Callithrix jacchus: one gene and its partners. The protein of the gene in region 2 interacts with the protein of the main gene of each other region in a pairwise test. Links are inferred from orthologs where the notes say so. Each region holds a gene or a part of one and is shown on either strand. Other genes may lie near its edges.

The links.
Region 1: the proteins of tyrosine-protein phosphatase non-receptor type substrate 1 (region 2) and NOL3 interact in a two-hybrid assay, tested with the Homo sapiens proteins (2 studies listed by BioGRID and IntAct). The two-hybrid records come from large-scale screens. The link is inferred for Callithrix jacchus from reciprocal best matches to the Homo sapiens genes SIRPA and NOL3.
Region 3: the proteins of tyrosine-protein phosphatase non-receptor type substrate 1 (region 2) and CCDC57 interact in a two-hybrid assay, tested with the Homo sapiens proteins (2 studies listed by BioGRID). The two-hybrid records come from large-scale screens. The link is inferred for Callithrix jacchus from reciprocal best matches to the Homo sapiens genes SIRPA and CCDC57.

Annotation. Positions count from the first base shown.
Region 1 is NC_133521.1:24,678,932-24,683,011, reverse strand, and holds the start of NOL3 (nucleolar protein 3), read right to left. Parts: upstream 2,933-4,080; 5' UTR 2,907-2,932; exon of another isoform or gene 2,599-2,906; 5' UTR 2,541-2,598; intron 1-2,540. Other genes in the region: HSF4 (heat shock factor protein 4), read right to left, coding at 3,684-3,838.
Region 2 is NC_133506.1:9,495,598-9,499,241, reverse strand, and holds part of tyrosine-protein phosphatase non-receptor type substrate 1, read right to left. Parts: intron 2,746-3,644; coding exon 2,389-2,745; intron 1-2,388. UniProt on the Homo sapiens protein: Immunoglobulin-like cell surface receptor for CD47. Acts as docking protein and induces translocation of PTPN6, PTPN11 and other binding partners from the cytosol to the plasma membrane.
Region 3 is NC_133506.1:137,722,374-137,726,017, reverse strand, and holds the end of CCDC57 (coiled-coil domain-containing protein 57), read left to right. Parts: intron 1-3,252; coding exon 3,253-3,437; 3' UTR 3,438-3,634; downstream 3,635-3,644. UniProt on the Homo sapiens protein: Pleiotropic regulator of centriole duplication, mitosis, and ciliogenesis. Critical interface between centrosome and microtubule-mediated cellular processes. Centriole duplication protein required for recruitment of CEP63, CEP152, and PLK4 to the centrosome.

The DNA of each region.
Region 1 (4,080 bases), on a different chromosome or scaffold from region 2:
ATGCCTGGCTAATTTTTGTATTTTTAGTAGAGACAGGGTTTCATCATGTTGGCCAGACTGGTCTTGAACTTCTGACTTCAAGCGATCCACTGCCTTGGCCTCTTAAAGTGCTGAGATTGCAGGCATGCACCACCACACCTGGCTCATGAGAGACTATCTCTACCAAACAGCAGCTATTAGAGAAAATTAATCTGCTTGGTCCTTTTTTTTTTTTTTTTTTTTGAGACAGTCTCACTCTGTGGCCCAGGCTGGGGAGTGCAGTGGCATGGTCTTGGCTCACTGCAACCTCTGTCTCCTGGGTTCAAGCAATTCTTCTGCCTCAGCCTCCTGAGTAGCTGGGACTACTGGCACTCACCACCATGCCTGGCTAATTTTTTGTATTTTTTTTTTTTTTTGAGACGGAGTTTCACTCTTGTTACCCAGGCTGGAGTGCAATGGCACGATCTCGGCTCACTGCAACCTCCGCCTCCTGGGTTTAGGCAATTCTCCTGCCTCAGCCTCCCAAATAGCTGGGATTACAGGCATGTGCCACCATGCCCAGCTAATTTTTTGTATCTTTAGTAGAGACAGGGTTTCACCATTTTGACCAGGATGGTCTCAATCTCATGACCTCGTGATCCACCCGCCTTAGCCTCCCAAAGTGCTGGGATTACAGGCTTGAGCCACCACACCCGGCCATTTTTTGTATTTTTAGTAGAGACGGGGTTTCACTATGTTGACCAGGCTGGTCTCGAACTCCTGACCTTGTGATCTGCCTGCCTCAGCCTCCCAAAGTTCTGGGATTACAGGTGTGAGCCACCGCACCTGGCTGCTTTGTCCATTTATTCCCAACCGAGGATTATGGCCCATTCCTGTGAGTGGCCTGATGCAGCCAGCAAGACCCCTGGCATTAGGAGGCAAAGACAGCCGGCTTTGGACCATGGCCTCAGCTCACCCCCGCCCCCATAATATATATATATATATATAAACATATATATTAACATATATATTATTATATATTAACATATATATTATTATATATATAATAATAACCTCCCCTCCTCCCTGCCTTGCCTTTGTTCACACAACATCCTTCCATCTCCTCTTCCCTTTGCTGTCCCTTCTCTGCCTCCTCCTCTGACTCTAGGAGGCTGGGCCTTCTCTGGGAGAAAGGATTTGGTTCTAGCCCCCATCCTGCCTCCCAGGTCTCTCTCAGTACCCTCTGGTGTCACACTATATCGCTCCTGTCACTTCACACCCTGGCTCCTGCCCATTGAAGCCCTTCCTCCTGGGCTACCAAGCTGAGACCAGAACTACTCCCTGCCCCTCCCTTTCTCTCTCTCTCTCTCCCTCTCCCTCTTTTTTTTTGAGACAGAGATTTGATCTTGTTGCCCAGGCTGGAAGGCAATGGCAAAATCTTGTCTCACCTCAACCTCTGCCTCCCGGGTTCAAGTGATTCTCCTGCCTCAGCCTCCTGAGTAGCTGGGATTACAGTCATGAACCACCATGCCCACCTAAGTTTGCATTTGTAGTAGAGACAGGGTTTCTTCATGTTGGTCAGGCTAGTCTCAAACTCCTGACCTCAGGTGATCCACCTGCCTCAGCCTCCTGAAGTGCTGGGATTACAGACACGAGCCACCTCCGTCTCTCTTTATGTCCCTTCTGTGACAGGTCTTGCTTCTCCACTTCTCAGTGAGTATCCATCAGCTGCTGCCTCACCACCCCACCATGGTCACCTCATGTCCTGTAACAGTCCGTCTGAGGCCCTCTCACTCCCATTCCACTAGACCCCACAGCACAGTGAATTTGACAACTTTCTGGGCTAGGATTACTGTTCCCGTTTTACAGATGAGGAGATAGGCTCAGAGATTCAGTGGTAAAACTGGAATCTTACTTGCCCCAGCCTGAGCTATGAGGAACTGAACTATATTCTCCTGTCTAGCAAAATCCCATCCTAAATATCTATCTACCTCCCCCCACCCCACCCCACTGCCTATCAGACCTTAACTATCTGGTCTGGCTACTCTAACCTCCTCCCACCACCCTGGACAGCCAGGTCCTTCCCAGCTTCCCTCCACCAGTCAGGGCTGGGAGAACTCATTATGGCCTTGGCACCTTGGAGCCTTTGCTGATGCCCTAAGACTGGAATCCTTTTCCCCTCCCTCCACTTCATGGACCTATCCATCCTCCACGACTCAAATGTTCCCTTGTCTACACCAACGCCTAAGTGTCCCAAGGGCAGGTGGTTCTTCTGTGTACCCAGTAAACAAACATATGCCCTCACCACCACATAACCAATATCACTGCATTGTATACACGCAGATCCTCTGTTTTCTTCAGCTGAGGCTTCCAGTGTCCCTCCAATCGGTGGGCACAGGAAGGGAGAGGGGGAGAGTACCTACTCGGGACAGACACAGGGAGGGTGCAGATTGGATTGGCCCCTCCTCTCTACTCCAGCCTAAATTGTTCTCATGTTAGCTTTCTCCTCCTATGACCCCAAGTCCTGCCCTTTTTCCAGCTGGTCTGGGCTCTCCCTTTGAGGATTTAACAGTTCTCAATACCGAAGTTATTTAGCGGTCAGTCCTTCGAGGGCGACGGGTCAGATGTTTCCCAGAGAGCCTGGTGGTGGCGAGCGCGTGGAGCTTGGTCCCAGACTCCAACCCCAGCTCGATGCTCGGGCTCTTTGGCCGGGGAGCCAGGGTCTGGGGACACTGCGGAGCCTTTGCGGATGTACGACCGCACGGATCCCCTTACCTCCCTCCACTCAGTCCCAGAGCCTGAGAGTCCAGCGGCAGGGCGGGGCCCACAGACCTCCCCAACCCAGTGGTGCGCTGATTCTGCCCAATCTCGGTTTCCCTTCCCTCCCCCAGCCGGGAGTGGGGCTCCCGGTCTGGCCCGTTTTGGGCGGCCCCACTCACGGGTCGAACCTCGGCGGGGCAGGAGATGACGGTGCAGAAAGGGCCCGGCAGGGTGGGGGTGGGTGCAGCAGCTGCGGCGGGGGCGGGGCGGCCAGGGCTGCTGGGAATAGGGAGGGTGAGGGTTCTTCCCCGGGCACTGGGAGCCACGCCGCGGAGGCCGCGCGCTGGCTGGGGACGTGCACGTAGTCAGCTTTCCCTCCCCAACCGGGGTGCACCGGGAGATGAGGCCAGGAGGGGTCAGTTCGGCCCGCGGCCCCACACGTCCAATGCCCACTCAGGGCCTGCCAATTTCCAGGTGCTTTGCATCTATCCTGTCATCGACCCCTCTTCCCTGCCTGTCACAGAGGAAGCTCAGAGAGGGGTACTGACTCACCCAGGATCACAGAACGCATGCATTGCAGAGCTGAATGTGACCCAGAAGCCCCCGTTTCCCAGAGATTGCATCGGCCCAGCGCCTGCCCTGGATCCCGGCCTAGGCAGGGGAGCTAGGCACCAGATCCCCAACCATCTCCACCCTACCGGGGTTCCTCTATTAAAGACCTAGTAACTGAACGCGTCTACAAATGCAAAATCACCCCCATCCACAACTCCTGTGCTCCCTGGCCGATAGAGAAAAGAGACCAGAAACAGAAAAAAAAAATGGAGTTTATGTGCAGGGCTAATCGGGGTAGTGGAGAGAGGACGATGAGTAGTGGGGGCTTCGCTCACCCCCGCCAGGGGGCGCCAGGAAGCCAAAAAGGGTGTGCAGCTGCGGACTGACTCGAGCCCCCTTCAGAGGCCAGGGTCTTAGGGGGAGGGACTGGCTTCCGGGCCCAAGTAGGAGGCGGTCTGGCTCTCAGGGGTGCTGTAAATGGTTAAAGCCCCAGGCAAACCCAGGGCTGGGCCTCCCAAGGCTGCCTGGACATCCAGCAAGAGTGGCGCCCCCAACGTGGGGTCCTTCCCTAGGAGAAGTTGGGCAGTGTTCACGAAGGGAAAGGTTCCCCCTCCTTTCATCAGGGAAGGAGAGCCCTGCCCACCTGCTTTCTGCTCAGTTAGGATGAAACATCCATTCTTAACCTCCCCACTCTCACCCAGTGGTGAGGGCATGGGTGGCTCAAGGAACTCTCTGCAGGGCAGTCTGAACTTGGAATTTCCCTGCAAAGTTCAGATTGCCCCATTGCTCAATCAAGGTAGCTCAGCCCAA
Region 2 (3,644 bases):
CCCTATTGCCATAAACTGAAGTTGGTGGGCTCCTGAAAGCCCGAGGGGAGAATAGAAACTCTTACTCCTATGGGCCCAAAGCACCCACCCAGGAAACGCCTCATCTCCGCATCCTTAGTCCTCAGCACCATGAGTAGGTGGGCATGTGGTCTGCTGGGCTGCAGGAGGCCCGACTCTGCTCCATGGATGCTGCTCAGTGATGTGCTGAGACCTGTCCTTTAGGAACAGGTTCCTGTATCATGAGACACCTGCAGGACCTTTCTGATGGGGGCTGGCCCCTCCTACTTCCATAGGATTTTTTGCTTTGTTTTCCCTTTTTTTTGAAACTGAGTCTTGCTTTGTTACCCAAGCTGGGGTGCAGTGGCACGATCTCGGCTCACTGCAATCTCCGCCTTCTGGGTTCGAGCAATTCTCCTGCCTCAGCCTATGCTCATTGCTATAGAACTGCAAGAGTGGAATGAGAAGGGTGGAACATTTCTCCACTTTGATAAGCACAGCTGGGTGTTACAGATACAGGGGCTGTGGTTCAAGGCTCCACAACCTGCTCACCACTTAGGTCTCCTCTCTGGGCCTCAGAGTCCTTATCTGTAAAAGGGGCAAACACATGGCTCTTCCTTCTAGTACTTGTTATAAAGGGAGAAAGTGCCAGACTCAGGATCTGGCCCAGCTGCTGCTCCCTGGCCCCCTCCTGCCTCCCTCCTTTCTCATCCAGGACATCATTTAGGCTGACAGCATGGCAAAGAGGAGTGAGCACTGTACTAGGAGTCAGCAGAACTGGGTCACACCTGAGCCATTTACTTGCTGCGATTGTCTAGGCATGGGATGCCTCATCTGGAAACCTCAATGTCTTTTCCTGTAATATCTGCACGATCAGAATAAAGCCACCCTCCCTGCCTATGTCCAGCGGTTGTGGGGGGACTTGTTATTATGTCTAGGATGGAAATAAGGCCATATCCACACAAATGAAAACACACACACCCTCTGATCTAGCAATGGCACCTCCAGTGGGCATCTCCCACCTGAGGAGGGTGACACATGCTAAAGGTCATCCACTGCAGGACTGTTTTAATAGCTCAAAGTTGGGGACAACTTATATAGCCATCAATAGAAGACTATAAAATAAGTCTCATATTTCTATAAGCTGGAGTATTCGGTAACTATTACACAACAGAACAGGTCTCTATGTCCTGATATGAAATCTCCATTTCAAATAACATGGTTTACATTTGGGTGAGGTTTTCCAGTTACCAATGGGGTCTGAATGTGAGTATTCTGAACCTTTGGGAAACTGATGAAAAGGAGAAGTGCTGGCTCCCTGCTTACTGGCTCTGTTCAAGGAGCTTTCATTGAGCACCTGTGATGCTCCAGGCTTTTCTATGGAAACAATGCTTAACACTTGGGCAGGAAGGAGCCTCCCTGGAATCAGATGTGGGCTCTGGTCCAGATCCTGTCACTAACTGGCCCTGTGACTACGGGCAAGGCCCCTGTCATCTCCTGACTTCAAGTGGCCACCTGTAACTGGGGGTTGGGCTGGATGGTCTGAGGGTCCTTCCTGTACTAATGTCCCAGGACCAGGAGCTAGAACAAGAATCCTGGGGCCCTGTCAACAAACACAAATGAGCATCTTTGCTGCCTTAACTGAGGAACCCGAAGTCACCCAGAAGGAATACCTCTTTCCTGGAATGGGGGACATTCTTTGATGACCCCGCTTTGTTCAGAGCTTTTGGTGATTGCATAAATCAGTCCCTAAATTGCACGAGGTTTTTTCTAAAAGACCCACAGAAAATGCCGGGACCTCTGGCTTCCCCTCTCACCAGGGCCATCAGACTAAACAGTAAATCTGTGCCTTTTAGGAATCTTCTCAGTCGATGTTTGGTGATGGAATAAAGAAAAGCACACCCTCCCTCCTCGCTGCCCTGGGTGGATTTCTTATTGGAAAAGATGAGAACACAAGCTTGGTGGAGCCTGGCACATAGTAGGTTTTAGTGGGTGCCTGTCACTTAGAGGAGACTTGACCACCCCGAGAGGGAAGCACTCTCTGGAGGCGGCAGGTGAGGTCTGGCCCTGTGCCTGGACAAGTCACTCTATCTGTTGGTTCCCTCATCTGTGGAACCAAAGGGCTGGGGCAGATGAGAAGTGGCAAGGGCTGCAGACCCAGGCAGCTGAAGGAAGGATGCTGACTTTCCCAGTCTTTGCCAGCTGTGGAGCCTTGAGCAAATAGCAGGGCATCTCCAGGCCTCAACTTCCGTTATATGTAAAAGTGGGAGACATCAATTCATGAAAAGGAGCACCCACCACCACACCTAGTCATGGCTCAAAGAACGGAGGGTGTTATTATTGGCTTATTGTCACAAACCAGGGGATGAAGGAGGCCCACGCTGTACTCACCCCGCACAGACAGCTCAGTGCCTGGTCCAGACTTCAACTCCACGTCAATAGGGCTCGCTTTCCGGAACTTCACACAGTAGTAGGTGCCGGCATCTGCTGGGGTGATGTTACTGATGCGGATGGAATGGTCCATGTTGTTTCTCTTTGTCTGGTCTGCGACAGCTGTTACCCGGGGGAATTGGCCTTCTTTTTGATTATAGATTAATTCCCGGCCTGGTCCGGCTCCTCTGAACCACTGGATGGGCCCCACGGGGACCAGGGAGGTCACAGTGCAGTGCAGAGTGGCCGTCTCTCCAGCTGCGACCGACACGGACTTCTCAGGCTGCACCACCTGCAGCTCCTCCTCACCTGCCACTCCTGAAAGGAGCACAAAGCAGTGATTTTTTTCAGGCTTACATGATTCTCTGCTTCCTCAAGTGTTTATCAATGACTTTCATTAACTGGGTGCACACCAGGAGCAGGCCTTAAACTCAGCACACTGTGTATATTATCTCACTTAATCCTCACAAGAAACCTGCAACATGAACCTGTATTCTAAGTGGGGACACTGAGGCACAGAAAGCTAAGTGACATGACAGAGAGTGGCTTCGAATGCCTGGACCCTCTCTGGAAGAGTCACATCTCAGCTAGACTCTATAATTCCAATCTGAATTAACCAGAAGAGGGCCTGGTGTTTAGACAGAGGGAACAGCCTGGGCAAGGACTCAGAGGTAGGAGCCTGGCATGTGTGGTGCTCTACAAGGCGTTAGGTTCTGTTTCTGGCCTGGCCCAGGATGCAGGCCCCGAGAAGGGAGGCTGTCCTCAGCGGTCTTGGGCAGTAGGAGAACGTGGTTGGAGTTCTGGATCACTGGTCTACAGATGTGTCCTTGGGCCACCGCTCAGGTGACCAATAAGATCCAGTGTAGACTCATGCCAGTGTGTGTGAGTCTCGGCCTGGAGCCCGGGGCTGAGCCCGGCTTGCACAGTGCCACACAAATGCAAGAGCTGCCCTCAGTTTGCCCTTCCTGCTCTCAGCCTTGGTTTCTTTATCTGTAAAATAGTTACTATGACCCCACCTCAATGGATCTCTGGGAGGACAAAACAAGCCAAGGCTGGGGACAGTGTCAGAATTCAGCATGCGGTCTTCAGTCATCGGTCCTGGTTTGGAACCTGGCTCACCCCTTGTTTGTATGGGACCCTAGTTTATCAATCGGCTTTGAGTCTCAGTTTTCTTATCTATGAGATGGGTAGAACACCCCCAGGCCTCTGCTTTGTTT
Region 3 (3,644 bases), about 130 Mb from region 2:
CCTGTGAGCTTCACAGGCATCGGGGCTGTGGAAAGGTGCACGAAGCTTCTGGAGATTCTGGACCGGGGGAGCCAAGTCATGTTCGATGTCGCTTTCTGCACGGAAGGCCTGGTACCATGCAGACAGCAGTAGGAATCCTTATTCCCAAGAGACTTGGAAACACAATGAGTTGCATTTGAGAAGGGTTAATTTGGGGTGGATGAGGACCCTTGTGGCAGCGAGGGGGATTCAGCAGAATGAGGGCCCTCAGCATGGCAGGGGTGTACCCCAGAGAGCAGTGGAGGCCATAGGAAGACAGAGGGGCCTCTGTGCCCTGGGCCCAAGGCCACAGAATGGACTTGAGGTCTGAGCTACCATCAGGGCCAGGCCCTCCCTAGCCCCAAGGCAGCTCTGGAGAACCAGGGCAGGCTCAGGCTCACCGTCCAGCCCTTTCCAAAGCCCTAGGAAGCCAGGCAGATGTGCCCAGGGGCACCCAGAGAGCCAGGAGCAGCCTGGAGAATGAGCCACCAGAGGCCAATTGGGACAAGAGCTGGGTTGCCGCTCAGGTGCAGGAGAAGAAACGCATGCATGGGGTGGCCAGAAAGCTGGGGACCAGCGCTGCTCAGAGTTCTCATACCCCCAGGCAGAGACAGAGCAATGGCCACACCTCCCCTGCCATGGGACAGGCTGTGTCCTCCCTTGAGATTCCACCAGCTTCAAACCTCCAAGTATGGTTCGGCCGCCTGAGGGGCCAGAGTCCAGCCCAGGGGGCCCTTCCTCAGCTTAACCCCCTGGGAGGGGTTAAGCATGAGAGGAGCCAGCAGGCCCCAGTCCTCCTCCCCTGATTAATTGCTGCAAGGCCTTGGATGTTTCAGGAACTTTACAGCTCTGTTCTGGGCCAGAGCAAGAGCAGATGGTGGGGGAGGGGTGCAGGGCCCAAGAGGCGCGTCCCTCACGCTGTGCCCAGCAAACTCTGGGTCCACATGGTTTCCCTGAGGCCCAGTCAGCCCAGTGCAGAAAGACAAATCCCAGCCAGGCTCGGCAAAACAGGTCAGGCGAGGAGGGGCAGAGAGTGGTGAAGGCTAAGAGTGTTTTTAGAACCAGTTACTGGTTTGACCTCAGATTAGCATCAGGTAGGAGAAGAACCTGGGGTCACAGGGAGTCACGCCTGGGCAGCCAGTTTGACAGCCCTTGCCTCCCAGCCTAGGGCTGGCTGGGCTGGGGCTGCCCCCTGCCCTGCAGTCCTGGGCTCATGGCCAGTTCCCTGCCACCATCCCTGAGGAGGACTCAGAAGGAAAGGGGCCGGTGAAGAAACCAGAGCCCGAGAAGTGGATATTCTGTGCTAGGGAGGCCAGACCAGCTCAAAAGCCCTGCCCCAGGTGGATAGGGGAGGGGAGGGTCTGCCCTGGGAAGGAGGCCAGCCCACCCTCCCTGCCCCGGCACTGTGCCCCACTGACACTTCCCTGCTTTGCCTGGGGATACAGCTATGTTCCTCCCAGCAGCACCTGCCGGGCCTCCCCAGCAGAGGGGCTGCCCATTCAACCTCCTCCCCCAGTTCACTTTTTCTGAAAATCCCCGCAGGCATTGTCTCAGGAGGATCAACTCAGGCCAAGCCCCCAGAATTCCTGTGTCTTAGAGAGGGACAACCAAGGCCGCTGGGTTTGAGGAGACCCCTCAGGGTCACTGTGGAGCACTAGGGCCTGGTCAGAGGACCAACTTCGCAGCGGGAAGCCCTTTCCATGGGACACCCCACCCTCTGTGGTGGCAGCCAAGCCAGTGCTGGGGGTGCGTGGGGGGTGGTGCCGAGGTCAGGCAGGCTTGTTGTCTAGAGTTACGTAGTGGGAGCCTTTGTATGAAGAGGAGGAAGTCCTCTGGGGGTTGGAAGCAAAGGGAGCAGGCAGTGTCCAGGGCCCCCCAGGAACCCAGCAGAGGGCCAGGGGCTAAAGGATGGCTGGTTCTGGGTGTCTCGAGACCCCGACCATGGAGTGGGTGGAAGAAGCCGGGATGGGAAGACAGGCTCAGTGCCAGGGTGGGGTGCGTGTGGCTGCCCATGTGCACTGTGAAGCCCAGCCAAGAAATAGGCATCACTGCCAGTGTTTCCAGAGCACAGGCACTTCCCGGGCACCCAGGCGGCACGCAGGCCACATGGGTCAGGCTCCAGCGGGAGGCCTTGGCCACTGGCTGACCTGCCCGGGTCCATCTGTCCAGACTGCATGCTGGGCTGCACTGGGCCATGTGCTGGAGCCCTCTAGACCTCACCCCAGCCATGGGTGGGCACTCAGTGGACACTGAGCTCACATCTTACCATGGGTTTTTAAGTAACATTTTGTTGTTTTACCAAAAAAACACATTTTTTTTTTTTTTTTTTTTTTTTGAGACAGAGTTTCGCTCTTGTTACCCAGGCTGGAGTGCAATGGCGCGATCTCGGCTCACGGCAACCTCCGCCTCCTGGGTTCAGGCAAGTCTCCTGCCTCAGCCTCCTGAGTAGCTGGGATTACAGGCATGCACCACCGTGCCCAGCTAATTTTTTGTATATTTTTTAGTTGACACGGGGTTTCACCATGTTGACCAGGATGGTCTTGATCTCCTGACCTGGTGATCCACCCGCCTTGGCCTCCCAAAGTGCTGGGATTACAGGCTTGAGCCACCATGCCCGGCCAAAAAACACATTCTTAATTCAAAAAATGGAAAATAGAGAAAAACTAGCTAGATAAAGACGATCCCTTATGACACCCCTGTGTGAAGACAGTCTCAGCCAATGCTTTGGAAGGGCTGCCTGGTGCTGAGGCCCGAGCCTGTGTATGTGGTGCTCTTCTAGGCTCTTGGCCTGTGCCTGGCCAGGGGGTTCCCACTAGCATGGCCTTTCCTTCGGCCTCACAAGCCTAGCACTGCTGGCCCATGGGGGAGGCAGGGGCAGGGGATGTGTCTCAGAGGGTGGGGACACCTGGCGCAGCTGGGAAGAGGGGCTTCTGGTCAACCATTTACCCCAGCATCCCTCCCCGTCCTGGGACCATCTTCAGAGCCAGATGTCCAGGTGCCCAGTAGGGGGGGCAGGCCCAGGCTCTACCAAGCAGGACCCACTGAGCAAGGCGAGGACACAGCTCTCCAGTCAGGCCTTCAAGGACTCCTGGAGCAGCCAGGCCAAGGGTCACAGGGCCCTGCCGGCCGGGGCAACAGAACCACTGCACGTGTGGAGAGCATGTGAGCACAGCCTCCCGCCCCTCCTGCAGCCTGACGCAGGCTGTTTTTCTCCCATTTCTCTTTATCCGGTAGAACTCCCAGCTCCTCCAGCAGCCAATAGGAACCCCGTCAAGATGCAGGCAGGCTTTGCCACCCCAGGGATGAAGACGGCAGCGCAGGCAAAGGCCAAGCCCACAGGAGCCTCCCGGTCTCATCCTGAAAAAGCTAAAGGCTGCCAAAGGCTCCCCAAGATCTGGAACTACAACGTCAAGAGCTGACTTCCTTGACCCCCCCACCCACCGCTTGGGGTGCTCAGGTCCTCTGCATGAGTGCCTGTGCTTTCACCTACGTGTTGAGGGGGTGTGGGTGCAGGATGCAGGGTGGGGGCAGGGAGCTGCAGGGTTGCTGCTGTGGCAATCTGCTGACCAAAGGCCTCCCTGAGCCATTAAAACCAGGCTCCTTCCTGGGGCATCTCCTTGGCCGTA